Drosophila melanogaster: one gene and its partners. The protein of the gene in region 2 interacts with the protein of the main gene of each other region in a pairwise test. Each region holds a gene or a part of one and is shown on either strand. Other genes may lie near its edges.

Region 1 (4,932 bases), on a different chromosome or scaffold from region 2:
CTAAGTATAATCAAGGGGTTTCTTTAGAAGATTGATTTCGTTCAGCAGCCTTTGCCAAATGAACGAACATGCAGTACATTCAAATATGGCGGTTAATAAGCTTTTAATGGGGTGTTCCATGTCGAAAAGCTTTCTCTTTCCAAAAATGAATCAATCCAAGAAACCCACACCCTTTCATGTTGCTACCACCAACAATCACACGTGATTGTTCAAAAGGCATAATTACATGGTATGCAAATGGGAGGCGCCAAGTGGAAAATGTAGCCACAAGATTAACCCCTTTCGCCACACGTGCGAGTCTTGGAAGAACATACGTCAACTTTTTAATTAAGCAGTTGAGCAGGCATCAAATGAATGGCGCTTTCCGCCATGTAATAACCCCTTTTATGGCTGCCCTTAATCACAACATGTGACATCCCTTCCCAGCAGGATACTGCTCCTTCAAAGGATTAAAGTTCGAACGAATGTAGCGAGACTCAGGAAACTTTGCGCTTAACGCTGATTAATTACAGGACAACGGAGAGCGAGTTGGCTTAATTGGAAGTTTGCTTAGTTTTAGATTGTTTAATGTTTATTCACGTTCTCTAGCTCATGTAAAAAACTCATATTCCCAGATGAACCGGCGAACCAGTGCTACTCTCGAACGAGAACCCGCCGCTCTAGACATTCAGGTAGTTGTCGGGGAATTCGAAGGTAACATCGCGACCAGTCAGCTTCTTGTAGACCGAGGTGAAGGTGTCGACCTGGAGAGATAAATAGAGAACGTATTAGTTTACACGATCAGAGGAATTAACTTATTTATTGCAGTGTACAGCACCGCAACCTCCGCTGCGGCAGAAAATACCGCAGCGAAGATATCGTACGGTAGGCTGGATTAATCTTCCGCTTATATAGGAAGTCCCGAGGCCCCAGGAAACTAAACGGCGCTCGAGAGGCAAATAGGCGGCACTCAAAGTGCATCGTGTGTGTTTTCAGATGAGTAACTCTAAATGTAAGGTGCTGTTGCAATCCTTAAGTAATGATGCTGTCCTGGCAAAGTAGACCCAACATTGTGGAGTGATTCGTTGCATTACTTTGCGTTCTGTTTGACGATCGCTGGACTTGAACAACGTCCAGAAAATAACACAAGAACGGTGATGGAAACCAAAGTATTCAAGGGCTAAGTGTTGATTGACATGAATGTGGCGCATATAGTAATGCAGTAGCCGTTGAGAGTCGGCTCAACATTGTGGAGTGATTAGCGGCAGTTAATCTACGTTCTGTTTGACAATCGCTGAGCTTAGGTAATCGCTTAGCGAATAACACAAGAACGGAGTTCACAATTAGCATTCTCGTGGATATTCAACTGTAGCAATCCTTTAGTAATGATGCAGTCCTGGTAAAGTAGACCCACCATTGTGGAGTGATTCGTTGCTTCAGTTTGCGTTCTGTTTGACGCTCGCTAGGCCATGAAAAGATCTAGCGAATAACACAAGAACGGTGGTAGAAACCAAGGTATTTAAAAGATTCTACGAGAGTGTGGCGAGCCGAAAAGTAATGCAGTAGCCCTGGAAAGCCGGCTCAACATTGTGGAGTGATAGCCGCATTAATTTACGTTCTGTTTGACAATCACTGGCTTTGGATGTAACTTCCAGCAAATAACACAAAAACGATAGAAAGTTCTATGTACATTTAAACATATAATCTTTCTATCCATCTGTTATCCCCCTTATTTGACTTTTCATTCTACTGTTTAAATGGTTTCAAGTATCGATTTGAGTGTGTAATGATGTGGCGAGCCGGAAAGTAATGCAGTAACCGTGAAAACTCGGCTCAACATTGTGGAGTGATAAGCTGCCATTAATGTACGTTCTGTTTGACAATCACTGGCTTTGGAAGGACAGCCAGCGAAAAACACAAGAACGATGTATCAAAAGACCAACTGTGGCCAATATTTGGAGATGCAGGACCGCAATGGCTTCTAATGCCTGCAATAACGAGTAATTGGCCCTGACTGTTCTGCGTCCCCTGGCGAAGATTGAGCTCCATGGCACGGAAGGCCCAAATATCGAGGGTACGCGCCTGCTAACACACACGATGCACTCTTCTTTGAGGTGGAGGATGCTTATGCTTACTTTGTGTTCAATGGTGGTCTGCTGGTTCTTGTCCAGGTGCACCTTGACCAGCTGGGAGCCGTCCAGCTTGACGCGGATGCGCTTGCCCACAATCTCGGCGGGGAAGACCAGATCCTCAAGGATGGCGTCGTACACAGCGGTCAGAGTCCTGGAGCGTGGACGCTTCTGCTTGAGGGGGTTGCGGGCCTTGCGCGTGGGCTTGGGCAGGATCTTGCGCTCCGCAATCACGACGACGTGCTTGCCCGAGAACTTCTTCTCCAGCTCGCGGACCAGGATGATCTGGATCTTCTGGAACACCTTCTGCTGTGGAATGGGCACGTAGATGATGACGGCCTGCGTGCAGAGTGGGTTACGGATTACTATTGAAGGCTCCACATGTACGCCATATACTGTTTACCTTCTTGCTGCCGAACTCGATCTCGCGGGCACGGGTGATGTGCAGATCGCGCAGGTAGGGCTTCAGGTCGCTGTTGGCCTCGAGTTCCACCAACGCCTGGGCAATGGACTTCTCGAAGTCATCGGGATCCGAGCCGCCGGGCTTGATAATCTTGGAGCCGATAGCCATCTGCAATGTTCATCACCGGTATTTTAGCTTTCGGTTCAATTACAAACACAAAATTCGCTGCGGCAGACGCTTCCCCACAACGCAGTACAATCACAAATCGCCGGCAATCGGCGTTATTTCGCCAGCATTTCTCTGGATTCACAAGAAAATCGTAATTTGCCATTATCATTGCGGCCTTTTCTCTTATTATTTCGCTGCACTGCGTTGTGGCGACCGCGTATTTTGGCCATTTTCGGCGACGGAAGAAAAAAAGTACCACCTTTGTCGACTATTTTGACAGGAAAGGAAGTCGAGCCACGACGTAGAGGTGGAAAACAGAGCGAGTTGTTATCGATGAGACACGCGCGAACGTTGTGCGATACTATCGATACAGTTGCAGGAGCAATTACTCGTCGAAAATACGAGGGATGGCTAAATATATAAAATTTAACATTATAACATAACATCCATTCAAGAAAATTTGATTATATTTCTTTGAAGTGTTTCAGCGTTTTAATGTTTTGCGTGTAAAAATCGATAGTTCTCAGCAAAGATTGTGTATAACGAATTTATGAGTTAGCATCGATAAGTTTGTATGCCACTATGGGTTTATGTTTGGAAAAACTTTATTATAAAATTTTTTTTTAATAAGTTAAGTTGTTAGCCTATAAAATTAAAAAAATTGTTGTATGAACAATATAAAATGTTTCTTTGAAAATATATATCGATAGGTTCGTTTAGGGTTATCTACCATGCTTCAGCGGCGAGTATCACCACTTATGTTGCGATTAAAGCCCCACAGGGGGCGCAATTGTTACCACATGTAACGTTTTTTAAAAAAAAGTAATTACACAGATTTTGGATTTTGGAATGGATTTCCATAAATTAGGAATTTAATGAGATTATTAACAACATAATAAAAAATATTAGTTATTGCCTTAAATATATGTGTAGATAATATTTACGCAGACATATTTAATCTTTTCAACGGACATTTTTAAGTTGATAATATTGATAATATAATATATGTAAATTCCAGTGCCATTTGCCGTATGAGTTTTAACCTACAGAATTGTAGAACTTAATTACTATAGAACACTATTGAATGAAAACTTAGTAACTTGTTGAGGTTTTTAGTAATTCCAAGAAATATGCTCTTGAATAAAAAACCTTTTTAAGTCTCTTTCAATGCAAAAACACGAGTTCTTTTTTTTTACATATTGTAATTAATATGTTTAAGGTCTAATTATTATTGTAAACGTTTTTCGGTGGGTTGATTGCCTATAAAGCCACTTGTTTTTCAGTCTAAATCATCAGTGTAAAATTCGGAAAACCCAGCGATCTAGTTATGAAATACTTTGTGGTCCTTGTCGTCCTGGCCCTCATTTTGGCCATCAGCGTGGGTCCTTCGGATGCAGTATTTATTGATATTCTTGACAAAGTGGTTTGTTTCTTCTTTAAACAATTGTAGTTTACAATGAAGCTTAAACATTTGTATTTCTACAGGAAAACGCAATACACAATGCTGCTCAAGTGGGAATTGGCTTTGCTAAGCCCTTTGAAAAATTGATCAATCCGAAGTAATTCTGCACTGCAATTTAATTAATGTATCGTTTAACGAAAATAAACACAAATTTTAAAATCTGAAAAACAACTAAGTTACTAACGCAAGACTTTTAGTTAAGTTAGTTAATATAGACCGAGATGTATGTACATACATACCGCTTTCGCTTACAATAAAATGTTAAATAAGTTTTCAGATTCGTACGTGCTCAGTAAACAATTATTTTTTATTGTCATTTAATGCCTATTGAATTTTTCAAACTTAATTTAGTGCCTTTAGTAAAATATTGTAGTGATTCCCCTCGAAAAATACCACAAATTGGATGCGTTTATGTAAATAAATTGCCCTTGAGTGATAGAGTAAATTTGAATTTGACTGTCTTAGAAAGATAGAAAGAGATCAATTCAAAATGCCAAAAGGATAGAGTTATTAAAGCTCTAATTCAAATTGGCCCAGAACCGTTTAAAGGATATTACAATTTGTAATTTACATATTTGGATTATAGCATTGAAATCCCCGATTGTTCCCTAGATGTGCAGATGTGTGCTTGGAATCAGATCGGTTACCTTCAGTGTACTTTTCTCTGCAAAAATCCCCGTGCATGCCTTATCTGTCATTTTGTTTTTCAAGCTGGCTGTTCGCCTATAAAAGCTCTCGCCTTTTGTATCGCAGTCATCAGTCGCTCAGACCTCACTGCAATATCAATATCT
Region 2 (4,459 bases):
AGTTGGGAAATATGGGAAATATTAAAATGGTGTATGGATTATATTCTTTGGATACTTAAAGTAGCCATAACATTGATAAGCCAAACTGAGACCTTCTCAAAAGCACGTTTTCGGATAAAATGGGTATTCAACCCAGTGTTTTCCTTCAGACTTGAAATTCAAATGGATGGGACGATGGAAGATTCGGGAAACTTGTGCTTACGTAAGTATACACTTCGCGTATGTATGTATTGCCATAGCATCTCGATAAGTTTACTGTAGAAATTTGTAGAACTGCAAAGTTTCACTGGAAGTACACGATAAGCCGAAACTATAACCTACCACAATATCCTTATCAGTGAATGCAATACATGTTCCTTTGACAAAAAAAACACGTCATATTTGTACGATTCAAAGGCACCTATTCTTGGTAGTAACTAACTAAAAATCCACCACATTCAACTTGAGATTCCCCATAACTCTTGATGTAAAATAAAAACACAATATGAAGTATAACCTTCTTTTTAAGCCGTAATTTATTCTGATGCAATTGGTGAGTGGCACCCGTTCATCTAAATGAAAACGTGATTGCCACGTTGGGCTCAATCGGTCACATTTTCCCATTTACATACATACATCTATCTACAAATGTACTTTTTACCCACTCCAGAGATCAGAAATTGATGATTGGATGGGCAGCGGAACCCCCATGTAGTAATAAATACAGAACTTTGAAATTTTGTACCCTCCACTGACGCAATTGACTTGGGATACTTTGATTGCAATCTTGGTGCTCAAGTGATGGTGCGTCATTAACCCTTTTCCACTTCATGTTACTATTTTTGTTTACTCAGATACTTTAGAACCTTCAATGCCGGTATCTTTGAACTAAATCTAGATGATTGTTCTATCTGATTTCACAATAATATTAAATATTAAATATTATAATCAGTTTTAGTATACAAATTCGAAAGGTATTCAAAAGTCTTGTATTCTTTTCGAAATAATGCAATGTAGGATAAATACAGTAGTTAGAGGGTTAACGAAGCAAAAACTTTCCATTCATGGGAATTCGTTGAATGATCTTCAATTGGCAATCGGCTAAGTCAGTTACGAGCTTTTCCGACAGCGCCGATCGCTCGTCAATCGGCGATAATTGGTTCAAGGTCGTTTTTGGAGGTGTGGGGGTAGGGGGGCGTAAAGAAGTGACACGTCCGCTAATAGAAATGCCATGAAAAACAAAAGAAACTCTAAGTGCAATTCCACATATAGCAGCACTAATTTTAGATTCGCTGAGGCGCTGGCAAATTTTTTAATGACCATTGAGCAGCCGAAAGCAGAAATTGCTTGGCGACGTGACAAATGCAGTGGCGAAAATAATCTCGCCCATTTCCCTGACATCTTCCTCACGACAGGGCACGTCTTGATGTCTTGAAATCGTTGAAAATACAGTGGGATATGGGGCTAAAGGGGGTTCACCCAGCAGTAGTTTCACTTAGATACATATCACAGGCATTAAATGATCGGTTTGATACACATCCATTATATTTTCTACATACGAATACATCCCAATAAAAATAAAAACGTACTTTGACAAGAAAGTACATCTAGAATTTAATTTTTTTGTATTTTTTTAAATTCAAAAATACGTTGAGATCAGCGTTCAAAATGCGCGCCAAGCGGCCGGCGCTGCCAGCTTGTCGGAAGCTACCGATAACAGCGCCGATTACAGTGCCGATAGGCGGCGGTCATCGGGAAATACCAAATGCGAGAAACGCACTAAAAAATCGCTGACGCGGCGGGCCAGACCGCATGCAGCTCCACTTCCAGTGTCCACCATCTTGGCCGAAGTTGCCACAAAAGTAGAATCGTGACGGACGGCAAATAATTGCAAAACGCATAGTGTTGACTATTGTGGAAAAAACCCAGAGCGAAAGGCCGCCAAAAAGAAGTTGGCAATAAAGCAGGCGGGGATTGAGTACCGAATCCAGCTGGGCCATAAGGTGCTCGAATTTGATTTCAATATTAATTCCAGCCGTGCGAAAGAGACAGCGCGTCAGCCGAGTGCGAGAGGGAGAAGCAAAAGCAAAGGCAAAGGCAGAGGCAAAGCAGGGTTGTCGCCGGGAAAAAATCATATTGTTAAAGTAGGAAAATCAAAGGCTACTGTGAAATCTTCAGATCTTCAGATTTTGCCAAAACAGGTCGTAAGTGATCAAAACTTATTCAAAGCCAACTCGATATGAATGCCAAGCGCGTGAAGTATTCCATGGTGAAGGAGGAGATCGTGCCCGTGCTTATCGAGCAAGATACCGAGGTTGATCCCGAGGAGGAGCCCGAGGAGGATGAGGAGCACGTTCAAGAAGATGACGGCCAGGAGACGCAATATACGTATGCCTATACCACCGGCGACGACGATGACACCGAAACTGCGGTGGTGACCCTCAGCGATCGTGACCACGAGGCGCTGGTCAATGCCGAGGAGGTGATTATCGATGAGAACGGTCACGCGGTGACCCTGCAGGAGCTGGTCGAGAACAGCACCGTCGAGGAGGAGACCATCGAACAGGGCGATGGTACACACACCATCCTTCATATTGTGCCCAATATTCATGGCGAGGAGGTCGAGGAGGATGAAGAGCTCGAGGATGGCGAGGAGGTAGAGCATGACGATGAGTTTGTCACCGTCGACCACGAGGGCGGCGAATTGGAGGTTGAAGATGACGAGGTGGGCTCTATTGTGTTCGAGAGTACCATCGACCATGCCGAACAAGATCCGTATGGTCGCAACAAGACCTTCTACTGTCCCAATTGCGGCAATTGCTACAGCGCCGCCGGCTCCCTGAAGCTTCATATGCGCGCCTGCCTGCGGCAGAGGAACGAGATCTCCACCGATGAACGCAAGTGCAAAGTGTGCAGCAAGGTCTTCAACTCGGTTGCCTACCTCAAGGAGCATATGATGCGGCACACGGGCGAGCAGCCCTTCCGCTGCACCCGCTGCTATCGCAAGTTCGTCGAGGAGAGCAAATTTACCGCCCACATGGAGTCGCACAAGCACCAGGACAAGCTCGAGGCCGAAGCGGTGGCCCTGGCCGCCCAGCACGGCGGCAAGAAGGTGGTCGTCAAGGAGTTCCAGTGCGCCTTCTGCTCGCAGAACTTCACCGTCGTCTTCGATGTTGGCCAGGTGAAGAGACGCTATGCCTGCGACGCCTGCCGCGATAAGTACTCTAATGCGGAGGCACTGCGGCAGCACAAGCAGCAGGTGGAGGAGAAGCGCGAGTTCAGCTGCGTACGTTGCGGCCGCAAGTTCGTTTTCGAGGGCTTCCTACAGCGCCATCTGCCCACCTGCGATGGCAGCATCAAGCGTCGAAGGGACATGAAGTAGAGGCGGCCACAACGTGATGAGCACTGGCGGCGTCGGCAGCAGCTGGAGCCGGAGCGTGATGAGCAGAAATCGCCGCCGCCAGTGCGTTACGTTGTTATCAAGCAGGAGTACGTAGATTAGGAGCAGTAGGATTAGCTGGAGCACGAGCTAGTTTCTAATGATTCGCCCATGCAAAACTCGGACACTAGCCGCCCGGGCCAGGAGAAAGGAGCAGCTGCTGTTTATCTACACGCAAACATAAGTCCACACCCATATTGTATTTTTTGGGAGCCACAACGGGGGCCACTGTCGTCAAGCGATTCCAAAGGAAAGGGTTTATCTTTTACCTAGTTGTACACAAATCCACACACACAGTTGTTTTTTTTTTTATATGATTTCAGGCCAACTCTGCGGTTTACAATTGAAGATAAAAGCATGTCGACGGATGTCGATCATGGCCCATGTATAGATATATATTACTTACTTATAATTACGACTACTTAATGTTAGAGCTCACGATCACCCGCTATTGTGTAATAACCCGAAACTCCAAATACTGACACACAAAACGAGCGTCAAATCGATGTTGAATTCAATAAAAAATAAAAATAAAATAAATCAAGAATGTTTTTCAATGGCTCAAGATTTCTTCATTGCTATTTTAATAATCCCTATTGAATCATAAGCATTTCGTAGTGTTTTATGTTGTGAATTTATTATTTTTACTAAGCAGCAGATTTTCAATTAGATTTTAATTTGGTGACACAGCCAACTGGGATTCCCCGCTGTTGGTGCCACCAAATCCATCTAATTTGGCCATTTTTGAGCACTGCCCGTGGGCTATATTGCAGCTGGACGGCAACGCCCCCGGTTTGGTAAAAATCTCTGGCTACCTCGGGTGGTCCAGCACAGGATTTGGATTAAACACACACAAAGAGAATCGGTATTTCAGCCAATCTGATCTGACATTATAATTGGTCGATACTTTCTTTTTTTGGCGCTTAGGCGGATGATCTACAAACAAAAAGGTGCGTGCTTAGGCATTAACTAATCCATTAACTAGGCCGATTTAGGACCAGAGCTTCAAGTGGGCACGCTTGGCGTACGACTTCCAGTCGG
Region 3 (4,023 bases), 3.9 Mb from region 2:
AATTAAGCGTAAAATCGTCGCACACGAAATGCCGAAAATTCAAATTGAATTTGAGAGGTTTTCGTGTGGTTCTTTATCCATTTGTGTTTCGTTGTGTCCCAAAAAAACCGCAGAAAATGCGAGGATTATGGTAATTTTGTGTGGAAATTGCCGGTGAAGACTAGCCGGGATACGCCTTGTTAGGCAGGATGCTCGTTAAATCATATTAATCAACATGCCGGAATCCTTTCTTAGCGCTGGAAACTCTCTCAAAAACCCATTTAATCCTTTTGTGCGGCTGTGTAAACAGCAATAACTCAGCGCCACAAAGAGAATCGAAGGACTCGGGGACATAACGAGGGCAAATCGAAGGGAAAAGAGGTAAAAAGTAAGCAAAAGCAGGAGCGCATTTCGCAAAGTAAACGTTGAAAAAGAGTTGAAAAGTTGAGAAATTCGCCATTTCAGTGGATGGAACGGGGTAATCGATTAACTACCCCAGCACCCTTTTTGTGTCCCTATCCAGGATGAAAGCCGATCGGAAGATAGTCACATGAAAACATATGAAACAAAACGACTTTCACCACAAAAAAGCCGAAAAGGATAACGTGCGAAATATACGATCCCCGTTAGCGAAAATCTTTCAGCAATCGATCGCAAATAAAGATATCTCCAGGGGACCAGAACCCATTCAAAGATGCCTTTACATGCTGAACTAGATCAGAACGTCAGATAGCAAGCCACGTCGGTCACGGACACTTTGAGTGATCCAAGTCCAGGAGATGACGAGCGCCGATCACTTGAACGTCACTTAGGATCGCTGGTCGATGATCACTTGAAGATCACTCAGGGATCTCGATGATCACTTCATCTACAGCTGGTCAAGAGCCACATATGGGGGCAGTTATCTTTGATCTTGTCATCGGAAATATAATCTACTTATTGGTTCCATATTTCATATTCATATGGAGGACAGCGGCTGTGCTTTAAAATATAGATCACTACAAAGGTTATGGGAACCATTTCCTTTTACATTTACATTTCAAAGTTAAATCCATACAAGTTGTGAATTTGCATTGCATGAGGCCCATCTATTTGTAGAAAGAACACTTATTAAAAAGTTGATAATTTGATAATGCATACTGTGTACAAACTTTTCCCCTGTTGGGTGAGCAACTGACGCTTTGCACAGGACTTTTCCCAGAGTTTGTAACGTTTTTCTAATGCTTCCTTCCGGAAGTGGCAAACATTTTCAATTAAAGCCGCCGAGTATATAAATTGCATTTGCGGCCGCTAAAGAGCCGCAATTAATACTGATACCGCGCTACGACAAGTGGCTAAAATGACGAGGAGCTGTCGGCCAGGAAGTTGGACTTGGCATCGGCTAATTAGCCGGCCAACCTGACTTCCCTTCTCCCTTTTCCGTTCACTATTTTCCAGCCTGTTGCTGCTCTAAATGTCCATTCAAATGAGGGGGAGACAAGGGCGAAAGGAAGCAGACTTCCTTGAGGGGAATGAAAGCAAATTTAATAACCAAGCGCTGGCCGATAGACATCTAGATGTCATTTTCGTGTGGTGGTGCTGTGGATGAGTGCCTGGATTGGAGTGGGTGATTCTCGGCCGGTACTGCGAACTGTGGGAAAGGACGAATACCTCCAATACCTCCATCAAAATATCAGATCTCGTTGGCATAGAGATCATACTTTCATATTCTAAGCTAAGCTGCTGATATCCTCGAGCTTGTTGCTCAAGTTCCTCGAGATCCAAAGACAATTTGCTACCACACACATCCGTTGGCCAAAGAGAGTCTTTTCATCCAAGGAGAGAACGCCGGAGAGAGCGAGTGTCCTTCTGCCCGCCGGGGTGCCTCTTGCGCAACAACCCCTAGCCCCGTAACCCCTAGCCATTAACCCCTGAGCGCCGAGCGGGTATAAAACGCAGCCCGCTCCCCGTACCGCTTCAGTTTGTCAGCGAGAGCGGTCGAGAGCAGAAGACTAGCAGAGTCTAGAAGTACATCTTTTTTTTTTGTGCACCAGGAGCAGCAGAAACAGAACCACACACAACATGCTGAAGTGGACGGCATCGGCGCAGCGCCTGAACGAGATTCCCGTGCACGATCAGGATGCCAACCAGCCGCAGAGGAGGAGGCTGCAGAGGAGGCAGCGCCGTCAGCGGAGGGCCACCATTGCCAACAAGGAGAACGTGCCTGACACCGTGGGCTACACCTCCACGCCAGTGCCCATTACCCGGCTGCGCAACAGTCCCCTGGTCCTGGCGCCGCTGAGCGATATCCGGAATGTCACCCCGGAGGCGGTGGTGCGCAGTCAGGCGCCCCAAAGGGTACAGAGTGTGCGATACGCCACCACATTGCCACGTTTTGCCGAGGACTACTCGCCCAACGGACTGCCCAGTGGTCAGCACTTGGCGCTGAGGGGCCTGGCTCCGTTGGATCCCTTTCTGGGCCAGCCGCGCTATATTGTAGGCTCGGGTGCAGGAGTTAACAAACTCAAGCAGCGTAGACTGGACGAGGACTTTGTGGCCACCTTGGAGCCGGAGTTGCAGGAGACGGCAGTGCCAGAGCCACCCACCCCCAAGGTGGAAGTGCGTCCAAGCACACCGCAGCCCGCCTCCACGCAGATGGGTGATCAGACCTTGGATCGCCTAATCGATGCCATCTTGGATTCCGCCTGCAAGGCGAACGCCAGCAGCAAGAAGAAGCCGAGAAGGTCCACCTTCAATCTGCGCAGACGCACCTTGGTCAAGCAGCAAATGGAGTCGAACTGCCCCCAGGAGGTGCTGTCGCCATCCTACGCACCTGGAGACGATCCGGCCTCGGATCTGAGCTTTGGCCTGGTTCCCCTGCCCATGCACAACCTGATGCCCACTCCGGAACCGGCATCGCCCCTGGCCAAGATTCCTCACAACTTGCTTGTCCAACTGGCCACTCCAGTGGCCCCCAAGTCTGCCCCCTGCGACAACACCTTCTGCCTGGAGACTCCAGTCAAGGCCCTGAAGAGGACCCGCAAGGAGATCGTCGCCAAGGAGTCCCCCATTAAGCGCTACAAGGTCGACGAGCGCAATTACTTCGAGGTGGGATTGGCCCTGCCCTCGTCTATATATGTCTGAGCAGAGGTAATTTCAAACAGATCCTCGGAAAGCCACAAAAATGAGAAGAGAAACTAAATGCGAGATGGAGATGAAGATGGAGACGAGAAAGCGAGCAACGCTGACAAACGGGGGGAAAACGCTTAACTATGACGCTTAACTAGTTCCTAAGTCGTAAACTAATCATCTTTCAATTACTGTACATAATTTCTTAGGCCACCTTAATCACTATTTATTCCAATTACTAATATAACCATTTTTTTTTTTGCTGCTGTTATGTAGTTTTCGAATATACCTTTTTTTTCATTATTTAATTTTAAACAAATATGAATATTTATTGCTACTTTAAGTTACCCAAATAATTATTTTTTCAAAATAAAAGCATTAAATCAAAAACAATGGAGTACACTTTTCTTTTCTTTTGAAACGGGGAAAACTTTATATATCAGCTTATCATCATTAATGTCGCTTTTTTGAGTAACTTTGGCTACTTCCATGCGTACTGCCCAATATAGGGATATGGGATTGTATTGATTTCAAAATGGTGATATTTGAAAAAGACTAGACTATCTTCATAGTCTAGAAATGTTTTCTCATGTATCCATTGGAATCTACTCTTTAAATGTTAGGTTTATAGTTGGTTTCTGAACTATTTTCGAGATACGAACAAATATCATTTTTGTTGTGCCATAGCATCGCATCGAGTTTTCTGATGAATGCGAAACATCTGCGGTGACCTTCGTCACCTACGCAATATCCCAGCTCGTGCCGATTGCATTTTGACCTGCCGATACGTACAACATATATTTACACAGTTGCTTGACCAAGCGATTTGCTTTGCTTTTCCAGGCGACCAAAACAAACAACGGCGATGCAGGTTGGGAACTGGGAATAATTGAATGCCTGACAGGTACAATGGCACGCCCCGGGATCTACAATCAA

What was found.
Region 1: the proteins of CG3847 (region 2) and RpS7 interact in a two-hybrid assay, tested with the Drosophila melanogaster proteins (one large-scale study listed by BioGRID).
Region 3: the proteins of CG3847 (region 2) and CG12496 interact in a two-hybrid assay, tested with the Drosophila melanogaster proteins (one large-scale study listed by BioGRID).

The regions. Positions count from the first base shown.
Region 1 is NT_033777.3:30,205,979-30,210,910, forward strand, and holds RpS7 (ribosomal protein S7), read right to left. Parts: upstream 3,043-4,932; 5' UTR 2,939-3,042; exon of another isoform or gene 2,680-2,938; coding exon 2,512-2,679; intron 2,448-2,511; coding exon 2,115-2,447; intron 2,062-2,114; exon of another isoform or gene 1,920-2,061; intron 1,906-1,919; exon of another isoform or gene 1,767-1,905; intron 1,653-1,766; exon of another isoform or gene 1,515-1,652; intron 1,481-1,514; exon of another isoform or gene 1,344-1,480; intron 1,314-1,343; exon of another isoform or gene 1,178-1,313; intron 1,135-1,177; exon of another isoform or gene 998-1,134; intron 949-997; exon of another isoform or gene 805-948; intron 744-804; coding exon 660-743; 3' UTR 552-659; downstream 1-551. Other genes in the region: Anp (andropin), read left to right, coding at 4,007-4,102, 4,165-4,242.
Region 2 is NC_004354.4:6,345,287-6,349,745, forward strand, and holds CG3847 (uncharacterized protein), read left to right. Parts: upstream 1-1,816; 5' UTR 1,817-2,218; coding exon 2,219-3,361; 3' UTR 3,362-3,950; downstream 3,951-4,459. Other genes in the region: ND-B16.6 (NADH dehydrogenase (ubiquinone) B16.6 subunit), read right to left, coding at 4,410-4,459.
Region 3 is NC_004354.4:2,408,814-2,412,836, reverse strand, and holds CG12496 (uncharacterized protein), read left to right. Parts: upstream 1-1,935; 5' UTR 1,936-2,040; coding exon 2,041-3,102; 3' UTR 3,103-3,472; downstream 3,473-4,023.